2 linked regions of the Caenorhabditis elegans genome follow. The protein of the gene in region 2 purifies or fractionates together with the protein of the main gene of each other region. This does not show direct contact. Each region holds a gene or a part of one and is shown on either strand. Other genes may lie near its edges.

Evidence for each region.
Region 1: the proteins of let-630 (region 2) and ptp-3 fractionate together in Caenorhabditis elegans (co-fractionation; one large-scale study listed by BioGRID). This does not show direct contact.

The regions. Positions count from the first base shown.
Region 1 is NC_003280.10:10,973,708-10,978,717, forward strand, and holds the start of ptp-3 (protein-tyrosine-phosphatase), read left to right. Parts: upstream 1-1,861; coding exon 1,862-2,129; intron 2,130-2,478; coding exon 2,479-2,620; intron 2,621-2,665; coding exon 2,666-2,906; intron 2,907-3,309; coding exon 3,310-3,523; intron 3,524-3,670; exon of another isoform or gene 3,671-3,820; intron 3,821-4,750; exon of another isoform or gene 4,751-4,959; intron 4,960-5,010. UniProt on the Caenorhabditis elegans protein: Has a role in early neural and epidermal development; neuroblast movements during closure of the gastrulation cleft and epidermal morphogenesis. Vab-1 and ptp-3 may function redundantly within the same sets of neuronal precursors.
Region 2 is NC_003279.8:5,161,899-5,166,893, forward strand, and holds let-630 (Small ribosomal subunit protein mS39), read right to left. Parts: upstream 2,987-4,995; 5' UTR 2,984-2,986; coding exon 2,885-2,983; intron 2,840-2,884; coding exon 2,702-2,839; intron 2,658-2,701; coding exon 1,362-2,657; intron 1,314-1,361; coding exon 1,185-1,313; intron 1,133-1,184; coding exon 800-1,132; 3' UTR 704-799; downstream 1-703. Other genes in the region: ppw-2 (Piwi domain-containing protein), read right to left, coding at 1-71, 118-306; Condensin-2 complex subunit hcp-6, read left to right, coding at 3,259-3,442, 3,492-3,736, 3,787-4,245, 4,303-4,476, 4,525-4,995.

The sequences.
Region 1 (5,010 bases), on a different chromosome or scaffold from region 2:
GATAGATATTACTGTATTTTGCCAAACTTAGCCCTGACTAGAAATTCCATTCCGTTCGGGCGTGACGGTGCCGCTGCCCTCCTCTGAAATTGCCCGGACGGTGCTCAAAAGTTATTTTAACCTTAAAACTCGACAGAACTCAGATATTAGCTTGAACTCATCAGTATTTAAGGTACTTATTATTTCCATTTTATTAAAGACCAGTTTTCAAGGTGTCAAGGTTTCCCATTTTTTTCAAGTGTTGCTAAAGTTTGCCCAGATTGAACCTAATTTTACAGTACAAAATGACTTCGATTATCCAATACAATGCAGCTTTCTATGCAGCTTTCTATAAAATAGATTTTGTACTCAATTACGCTTGAGCTTGATCTTGAGAGAATCTAGATTGTGGCAAGATGAATTTGAGTTGAAATTTTCCGAACCTTTTACAGAATCCGGCTGATGTTCAAGAACTAACTCACAAATTGGTTTGTCTAATTTTTCTCAAAAAAAAAATCTCATTTTGATCTCTAAAAACATATTTTGATGTATCAAAACCCCCTTAATCTGTTGACTCATTGTGAACATTACCTGTTCACTGAAAACTAATTAAACTATAATTTAACACCTGCTCTACAGAAAGTTCTCCCCCTTTTCTCAAAATAAACTATCAAAGTTTTCCAACTCCAACCTCTTGGTGTGAATTCATTCATTACATGGGGGTCATCTAGAAGAGTAATAGTAATAGAAGTAAAATTGTTTCATTTTGCTCCCCTTATTCCTCGATTAGTCTTGTCCCGCCATTTGCATGTTTTTGCTCTGCGTCTCTTCTTCTTCTATACACTCTCTATTTTCTTGCAGAGTTGTTCAAAGTTTAAGCTTTGAGAGAAGCGAATGTGGCAGGGGTGATTTTAACGGGACTTGAAACAAAGCGCTTACAAAAATGTCTTAGAATTCACATATTCAAAAAATTTTTTGTTTGCATTTTTAGAACTTCGAATTTGAACTTTGATTTATATGGTGCTAAAATAACTAATATCGTAGTATTACTTTTCTTAATTCAAAAAAAAAAAACCAAAAAAAATTGTGTTAAAATATGACATTTTGGCCATGAACTATGATAAGGAATTAAATTGAAAAAATCCCAATTCAACTAGGCTTCTCCAACTTGCTATATATTGTCTGAATTTTTAAAATCTAAAAATATACATGAAAATGGTTGTGAAAAGGTTATGCAAAATGATAAAAGTCTGAGCTATTTCCGAATAAAGAAAAAATTTTTGTAAACCCCTCTATTTCATAATTGTGTTCCCTTGATTTCTCAATTAGATTTATCATCTCCTTTCTCCAAATCTCTCGCCCCCGCGCCAAGCCCCCAGCTCCTTCCAAATGACCCCCTCACCTGCCCTTGCGCAATGGTCATTAATAAAAGCAACATTTTCCATTTCCCAAATAAATCCCTGGGACCCCTTCTTCTCCACACCACTTTTTTCTTTTCTCTCTCTTCCTCTTGTTCTTCAACCCATTTGCGCGGCTTTCCAGGTCGCTTGGAAAATTTTTGTGGTGGCTTTTTAATCGGCCTTTCATATCTTTTTGTTTCATGCTCTTGTGCTTCCTGAACTTTGATTATGTAGTTGATGTCACTTCTGCTCTTTTCTTTCTGTTCCCTTAACAATTTTCATTTAAAATTTCAGATCCTCACCTCTAAATCCTCATACCCAACAAAGTCTTCTGTGATCAGAAAGCAGCGCGAATAAAAATTAAAAATTAAATAAAATTAATTTAATTCAAGAAAAAACTTTAAAAAATTTTCCAACAAAAATGGGTGTATCTCTCTAATCAGAAAAACATCATGATCCAATTCAGAAACAAGAACAACAGTATGAATCGGATAGCGCGTCACTTACGAAATGTGGCACGCCGAAAAGGCTCGTCGCTGCTTCTGTTTCTAATGCTAAGTACCGTACTGGTCGCGGCAAAAGAGGACGGTAAGTTGGGGGAAGAGGATGAGGATTTCGGGTGGAATGATGAAGAGCCACCTGATAATCAGGATGTGCAGGACGGGGGAATTCCGTTGGTTCGGAAGGAAGAGTTTACAAATAATCAGCTTTATGCTGAAGCTTATCAGAGTTATATTCAAGCTCTTGCGTGTAAGTTATAGTGCAGGTTTGGTTGAAAAATAATGGTTTTTCGAGAAAACAGAAAAACCTTTGGAATTTTTTTTCAGAAAAAAATTGGAAAACATTTTTTATTAAAAAAATGTTTCAAAAAGCTTTACTACCCCTAGACACTTGTAAAATCAGGAAAAAATCAGGAAAATAATTCAGATTCATTTTTTTTGCAACCACATAGGCCCGGATAAAGCTGTAATACTCCCTAAGATTCCAGCTCAGTTTCAAATTTAAGCGCAGTTTTATGCGGAGGATTCAATTCTAAGTTGTATTGTTGGCAAGAATTCAAGTGAACTATATTTACAGTTTCTATTTTTATAATCTTCAGACCCCGCCCGACTAGTCGTCCGTCCAGACTCATCAACCGTCGTCGATGAATCGAAAATCTCATTTTTCTGTCGAGCAGATGGAAATCCGTTGCCTAGTGTGATTTGGAGAGTCAATGGAAAATCCATAACAGATCATAATCGGTATTAAGGCTTCATTGAAATATATAACTGTTACAAATTTTCCAGAATATCAATAAAATCCTTGGCCACCGGCTTATCGACTCTCCGTTTCGAACGTGTCTCTCTGGATGACAATGCGACTGTTGTGTCCTGCTCGGCTGATAATGGAGTTGCCAATCCAGTTGTCGCAGAAGCATCACTAACCGTTGTCCCACGAGACAAAGTTCCGATTGGGTTCCCTCAAATTGAACTTCATCCATCATTGAAGTCGGTCGAACAGGGGAAAACTGCTTATGTCTCTTGTCGGGTAAGTTTTTTGAAATTTTAAAATAGTTGCGTTTAAGATGGGAAATTCGTTGTATGTATTATGAAAAGATTTTAAAATTTTATCAACAAATAATAATGCTAAAAACTTTTAAAAATATGATATTTCGGAAATAAAAATGAACTTGAAGAAATTAACAATTGAAAGAAGAACAATTCAATATGGAGTTAAAATGGGATTAAAATAGCAAAAATAGCACAAATACCAAAAGTTACCAACACCAAAATATCATAGCACATCTGGAATTACCCTATATACCTGAAACCAAATACTAAAAACTATGTCGGCTGTTTTCAAATTAAAAAAAACAAATAAAAAAATATTTTTTTAAAAAACTTTAAAAATGTTAACGATTCCAAAATCAAATTCAAAAAAATTCTTTCAGGTCCGAGGAGATCCTCGAGCAAAAGTCCTTTGGCTCCGTGACCTGATCCCGCTAGACATTCGTGCAGATGGTAGATACTCTGTAAGTACAATCGGAAACCCTGGAGCCCTGATGATTCAGCATGCTCGAGAAGAAGATCAGGGAAAATACGAATGCATTGCAAGGAATACATTAGGAGTTGCTCACTCGAAAGCCGCAAATCTTTATGTTAAAGGTTAGTTTGGGATGGGGATTTTTTGAGGGAGGGATGTTTTAAAAATTTTTTATATAATTTTAAACCAGAAATTACGGTGCCAAAAAATGTCTGAAAATATATGCTCACACACAATCAAAATTTTTTCAGTTAATGCATTTTAAAAGTTTAAGTTGTTTTAGAAATACATAATGATCCAAATTCAATTGTTGAAAAACTGGAATGCCTAACTTGTTCAGTTATTCATTGAAATTTCGCACTTCGAGAGGGGTCAACTCATCCTAACTAAATTTAAAATAGGCGCCCCAGCCAAAAACTGTTCAAATTTGCATTAAAATAGGTTGTCCATTCCTCCTCCTCTTCTTGTTGCGATCACATTTGCATTTGTTTGAGCATGTGGCTTGATATCTGCGCCTCTTGGTCACTTTTATTCGGTCACTTGTTCTCTTCGTGATTTTCATTTTTATGACATAGAGTGGGAAGGGCGAAACAGAGAGAAATTGATGAGAATAGGTGTGATTCACTGATTTATGTTTGATTCGGTGAGCGAATTTTATTCTAGATTTTAGGCCTGCTAGTTGAAGTATTTTTAATATAACTTTTCATAGTTTCTATTTTTCCCTGATGAGCATTTATATCGGTGGTGCTCATTTGAGCGGAATGCTTTTGTTTCAGCATGACCTTATTTTTTTAAAGCTTTGAGCTTTAGAATAGGTGATTTTTTCTAAAACATTGCTTCTGATCTATTTTTGGAAATATAACCGTTTTCTGACTCAATAATACATAGTGAGGTAGATTTTCAAATCGAGTTAAATTTTTAAAGTTCCAGAGACTTTTTTTTGTAAGATACAGCTCTAAAATTTCAAATTCCAGCCATTTCAACCAAATTTTTAAATTCGAAAAATTATTCTATACATTTTGAAACACTTTTGTTTGAGTCTACAACACTGCCAACACTCTGAAATAGTTTGAGCTTCTAAGCATTTTTAGTCAAAATTTTGGAAAAGTGCCAACCTTTCAAAACAAAAGTGTAAATTTTGGAAAATTTTGCGTTGAAATTTTTCTTTGACAGATTGCTACACCTTTAAATAAAAAAATCTCTTCATAGTTTTTTACCCTCCAAGCTCCTCTCTAGATCTGGCAATCATAAAATAAATTCCAAATGTCAATAAAATCGTCCAAAAACCGCCATCCGGATATCTATCGAGCATTTAGCTTCCATCTTTCTGTGCTCAAACTGTGAGCCATCACTAGTAATTGGAGGTCATCTGGAAGATGTCGGTCGTCATCTAGGCGCCTTCCCGACATGTGTGCTTTATGTGTGCAGGCATACGACGACACCCGATGACCAGCAATTTCTCATTTTTATGACACCCGGCCACAAATTTCGATGATTCTTCTTCCCCGGTGTTGTCGTCTTTTGTGTTGAGAGATGTCTTGTCTTTTGATCATTATCATTACTTGGACTTTCTCTATCATTTCTAGATTTCTATGGCTCACATCTAGAT
Region 2 (4,995 bases):
AGGACTTCAGTCACGCTACCGAAAGTTCCAGGTTCGGTTGGAGAAGGATAGATCTTCGGATCCGGCGGAATCTAAAATATCATATTTATTCTAAGCAATAACGAGAACCGATCTCACCTCAAGCTGTTCGAGTCGCTTAATACACGCATCGTGAGCAGTTTTGTGTTCCGAGGTGACAGGAAGAGTCGGAACCGGAACCGGTGGGACTGGTGGTGGTGGATGAAGTCCTGGCGGAGCGGTGACCGGTGGAAAACCAACTGGTGGCACTGGTGGCATTGTTACCGGTGGAACCGGTGTAGCAGGCATTGTGAATGTTGTTAGTGAATACTACCTGAAATCGGAGAACGATTGCATTATGAACAATATCTTAAAATTTACGAATAACGTGTTGGAAAAAAATTGAATAAGTTTATGCAACTTTTCGGGATACATGCATTCTCTAAATCTTATAACTTATAACTTGAAAAAAGAACTATTGAAACACGTTTTTGTTAGATACTTGAAAAATATGAAGATTTCAACAAGAAATACTGAAAAATCGTGCACGGAAATGAATATTTTGGGACAGTAGGTAACATTTTTTGAAGTAGTGCGAATAGCTACCGTATACCTTAGACAGCGTTGCGAGACCCACTCAGATGAAAACTCGATGCGCCTTTAATTTCAAATTGAACGACCTTTGAAAAAAAAACATGTTGAACAAATTTTTAAATAAGTTTTATTATGGGAGACATTTTGAAAGCAAAACAAAACAAAAACAAAATAACTTTACAACTATCCTAGGCTAAACGAAATAAAATTATTGTGGGCGAAGACGAATGAATCCTTGAATAATTCGAACTTGCTCTTGATTCACATTACATTTCTCGAAAATGCGATTGGCGAGAGGCTCAAGTTTTGCACGGTTGGCGGTCAACGACATAATTTGCAGGCAAGTCGCTGCAGCATATGTATCACGTTTTCTAAGAGCATCTTCGAACAATTCTGCCATTGCCCATGGCCTAGCATGTCCACGTGGATAAACAGTCGCTTCGTCCCCACTGCTTGCAGTTTCATCAAGCAGTAGATCTAACAGTTCGTAAGCTTTCTGCTGTTCTCCGATTCTGGTCAAGAGCAAAGCACATTCTGAGATCTGCAAAATTTGAGAAATATACGACTTATGGTTTGAAAAATAATATTAAAACCTGGCTAGGCGACAGTTTCCTTTGGAGCCTTCTCATTCTCTCTTCTGTGAATTGGCTGAACTCAACCCAAACTGCAACCAATTTTTGGACAAGAGATGTGAATTGCTCCCGTTCACTAGTTCCCAATGTCTGAAAAAAACTTGTAAAAAACACAAGATATTTGGAAATAAAACTTACATGTAGTTGTACATTACACAACTGTTTGCGCATTTCTTCTCCAATAACTCCATTCATCTGTCCAGCTGCAATACCGTCGATGATTACTCTCCGTAACAGTGGCCAATGACGATCGGAGGATGCAGCGAGTTTTCGAAAAACTAGTGATGACAGATAATTGTTGACTCCAACAAGTCGTGGTACCATGGTGGTGTACAAATCATAAATTCTGTTCAGTGAAGCACTTTGTTCCACAGCCAATTGTAATTGTCTATTATAGAACATTGATTCAATTGTGAATGCTGGCATCTTTACTTCGTTTGCTTTGGATTCATAAATTGAAACAAGATTTTCTGCGAGGTTCTCATTTGCAGCTCTGTAATGGATTCCCATTGCTTCGACGAAGAAAAGATTACAAGTGGATGTAATCGGCTTGAGAGTTTTTCCAGTAAGGCTATTCTGAATTTCATTGAGCCAAGATATAGCCACGGTGAGCTGGTGATTATAGGTCTTCTTTTGCTCGTCACTCTCTCGTTTTTCATTATCCAATAATTTAAAATCTATGATGTTTTTGATAATTAAATGAAAAGATGACAGTGCTGGTTCAACTCCAATCTCTTTCATTTCTCCAATAATTTCAGTGAACGCCTTCACACGATCTTCAAACTTTCCAGCTTTTGCAGCAGACGACAGTAATGCATTGAACGTGAAAATATCGGGTGTCATTCTGAGGGAAATCATTTCAGCTACCAATTTCTTCCCGACACTGTAGCTTGAAGCGCCAATTAATCCATTGAACGCTTCTCGGTAAACTTTTCCTTTTGCAGCTCGATGCTCCTTGTACAATTCTCTAGCTCTTTCCAAACTAGAATGATCAGAAAACTTGCATAGACCAGCAATCATTATAGAAACGGTTTCATCAGTTTTTGGGAGAGTTTCGAAAAGAAGATCAGCGACTGCACCCGATTTCCATGAGGATGTAGAATCTTCTCCAAAATTGCGCATTCCAACAAACTCCTCCCATTCTGCGAAAGGTACGTTTGACGAATTGTAATAGGTTACAAGACGGAATAGTTCCAGCTGGACTTTCTCGCTAACGTCAACGTTCTCTGATCGCATGCGTTCATACAAAATACACGAGTCTTTTACTTCTCGACTTGAAATCATTTTAAGCAGGTTATTCTCTGTCGGTTCAACTTGAAGGGGATCTGCTAGATGTCGAGGACGGAAAACCGGGAGCTGAGGTTGATCTCTGTCAAAAGCGAAGAGGGTTGGCCATTCTGTAGCTAGTTCTCGTGCAGCTCTTTTGCCAAACTCCTAAAATTATCAAACTTATTCTAATATTCCGGCAAAAATTTTACCTTCGCCATAAAATAGGTCTTTTTCGTTGACTGCGTGGAAGGAATGGTAATTGGATCGTCAATGTAGGCAAAATGTGGAGCAGTTGTGTCCGGGCCAACGGTTTCTGACAAGGCATTTAACAAATCTGTTGGAGATCTCTGGAAATATAGAAGTTCAAGTATGAATTTTTAAAAATAGTCAACCTCGATTGCTGGCTGTATTGTCAATTTTTGAGATAATGCAGGCTCAACCGACGATAAACTGCGAGTTATAACTCTGCCAAGTCCCATGCGGCCGATCATTGCCTAAAAAATATTAAGTTAAGCAAAGAAAGATGAAAAACACTCAAAACGTAAAAAGCCTAAGTAAGAACCAAAAAAAAAAATCGGGTGTTAAAATGTTTTGTCCGCAGTATTGCGCGCCGTGTTTGCACCATGGCCTAGAAACACAATGGCCGTGGCCTAAAAATCTCAACGCGGTAAATTCAAACAGAGATCCTAATTTTTTTTCCTAAATATTTATTTTTAACGTTTTAAATTACCCTTATTGAAATGATTCATTTTTTATTTTAGATTCAATGTCGAATATCAACGAAAAAGATTTATCGGAGTTTCTTGAGTCAAATCTCCGGTCTCTCAACGATATTGACGATGCCGTTGCAACTTCTTCAGCAGAATGCAATTATGAAGATTATGAAGAATTCACAAATTCTGTTGACCTGACTTTTTTCGAGCAAGATCTGAGTGGAGTTCTGAAAGAGCGTATGTTGAGAATTTTGTTAGCTTCACTATTCAAAATTGTTATTTTCAGTAAAGAAACTTGCCGAAAGCGTTGTAATCTCGGGAAAGAAATGCGATATTCGGAATATTTTTGAAGAAAGTGATGTGGCGACAATGAAGTTTAATCTATTCGTCTGGTATTTTCTCGAAAACGGACAGAGATCTGACAGTTCGGAAGAGGATGTTGATAAAGGAGTTTCTGCTGCCAGTAGTTATATTGCTATGTGCTCATTGCCTGGAGCAATCTCAGATCTTTATCAAATTGGTTTATACAATGTAAGTATACGGGTTTATTACATGTCATATAATCAATGTTATTTTTTCAGCAATGTCTGAAAATTATTCGAAACTGTTGTCATACAGTTAGGATAGGAGAGACTGTCGTTACAAAAAAATCAAGTGGAGCAAAGAAAAAGAAAGCGGGTGGAAAGTCAGACGAAACAAATGTGGATGGAGAAATGACTGTAACAACGGGAGCAGCAGATCCTATAATTGGTCCCCCTCGAATTGCTGTCGATTCGGCTGAGCGATACCTGCATCATCTCACAACCCAGTTATTTGCTTTTCTGCATAGCAACACCTTCAGTATTGATACACCAACACTCATGAGCACACTAGAAGTCGTGGAAGACATCGGCCGTTTAGATCTTGACAATCGAACCGCAGGAAGAGCGATTCGAGCGAATTCAGTCCACGAGTTCCGATCGTTGGAGCGATTTACGGATCGATACTGTGCATTTGTGCATTCTTTAGTAGAAAGCAAGTATAAAACAAGAGCAGAAGTGGTGGGATTAAAATTAAAAAAATTACAAAACAAATTAATAAGGTTAGTACAAATTTAGGCTTACGGAAGACTTATTCGCCCTCGCCTTGCGCTGATGCCATATCCAGATGAAAGCAATAAATCTTCAAAGATTTCAACGGAGAGAAAGAGATCTGGTGAATTACATGTCAATTTAATTCTATCACGAATTTCAAGAAATCCCGAAGCAAGAGAGTTGAAGTATATTCAGACAGTGAGCAGTTTCTTCGAAATATTTTATTAACTTATTTTTAAATTTTAGGTTACTGTGATGGTGTATTCACAATGTCCAGATCTAGCCGAGTTTCGAACAAATATCGCCACGTTTATCCACAAGATTCTCGAAGCTCTTCCATACACATATACCTATGATTTTGTCCAGTTCATGAATGTCTTGTTCAAAGGCCGCGGAGCCGGAGTAAAATCCTTGTCTACAGAGCTCTCGAGTATTCTCATCAGCAGTTTTGACTTCACCGCACCTGACCCAGGAGCTATTCCAAACTTGGACGCAGAGCAGAATGAAGAAGAGGATGAGGAGGAGGAAGGGGAAGATGAAGAAGAGGAGGAAGAAAACGAGCAGGATGATGTTGCAGTCAAAGAGGAAGAACAGTCGGATAAATCAGACGAAGAGAATGATGGCGATAACGAGGAGAATGTTTCTAAAAAGAAAGAAGAGAAGAAGAAAGAAAAGAAGGCGAAGGAAGTTAAAGAAGTTGGTCGAATGGATGCAATG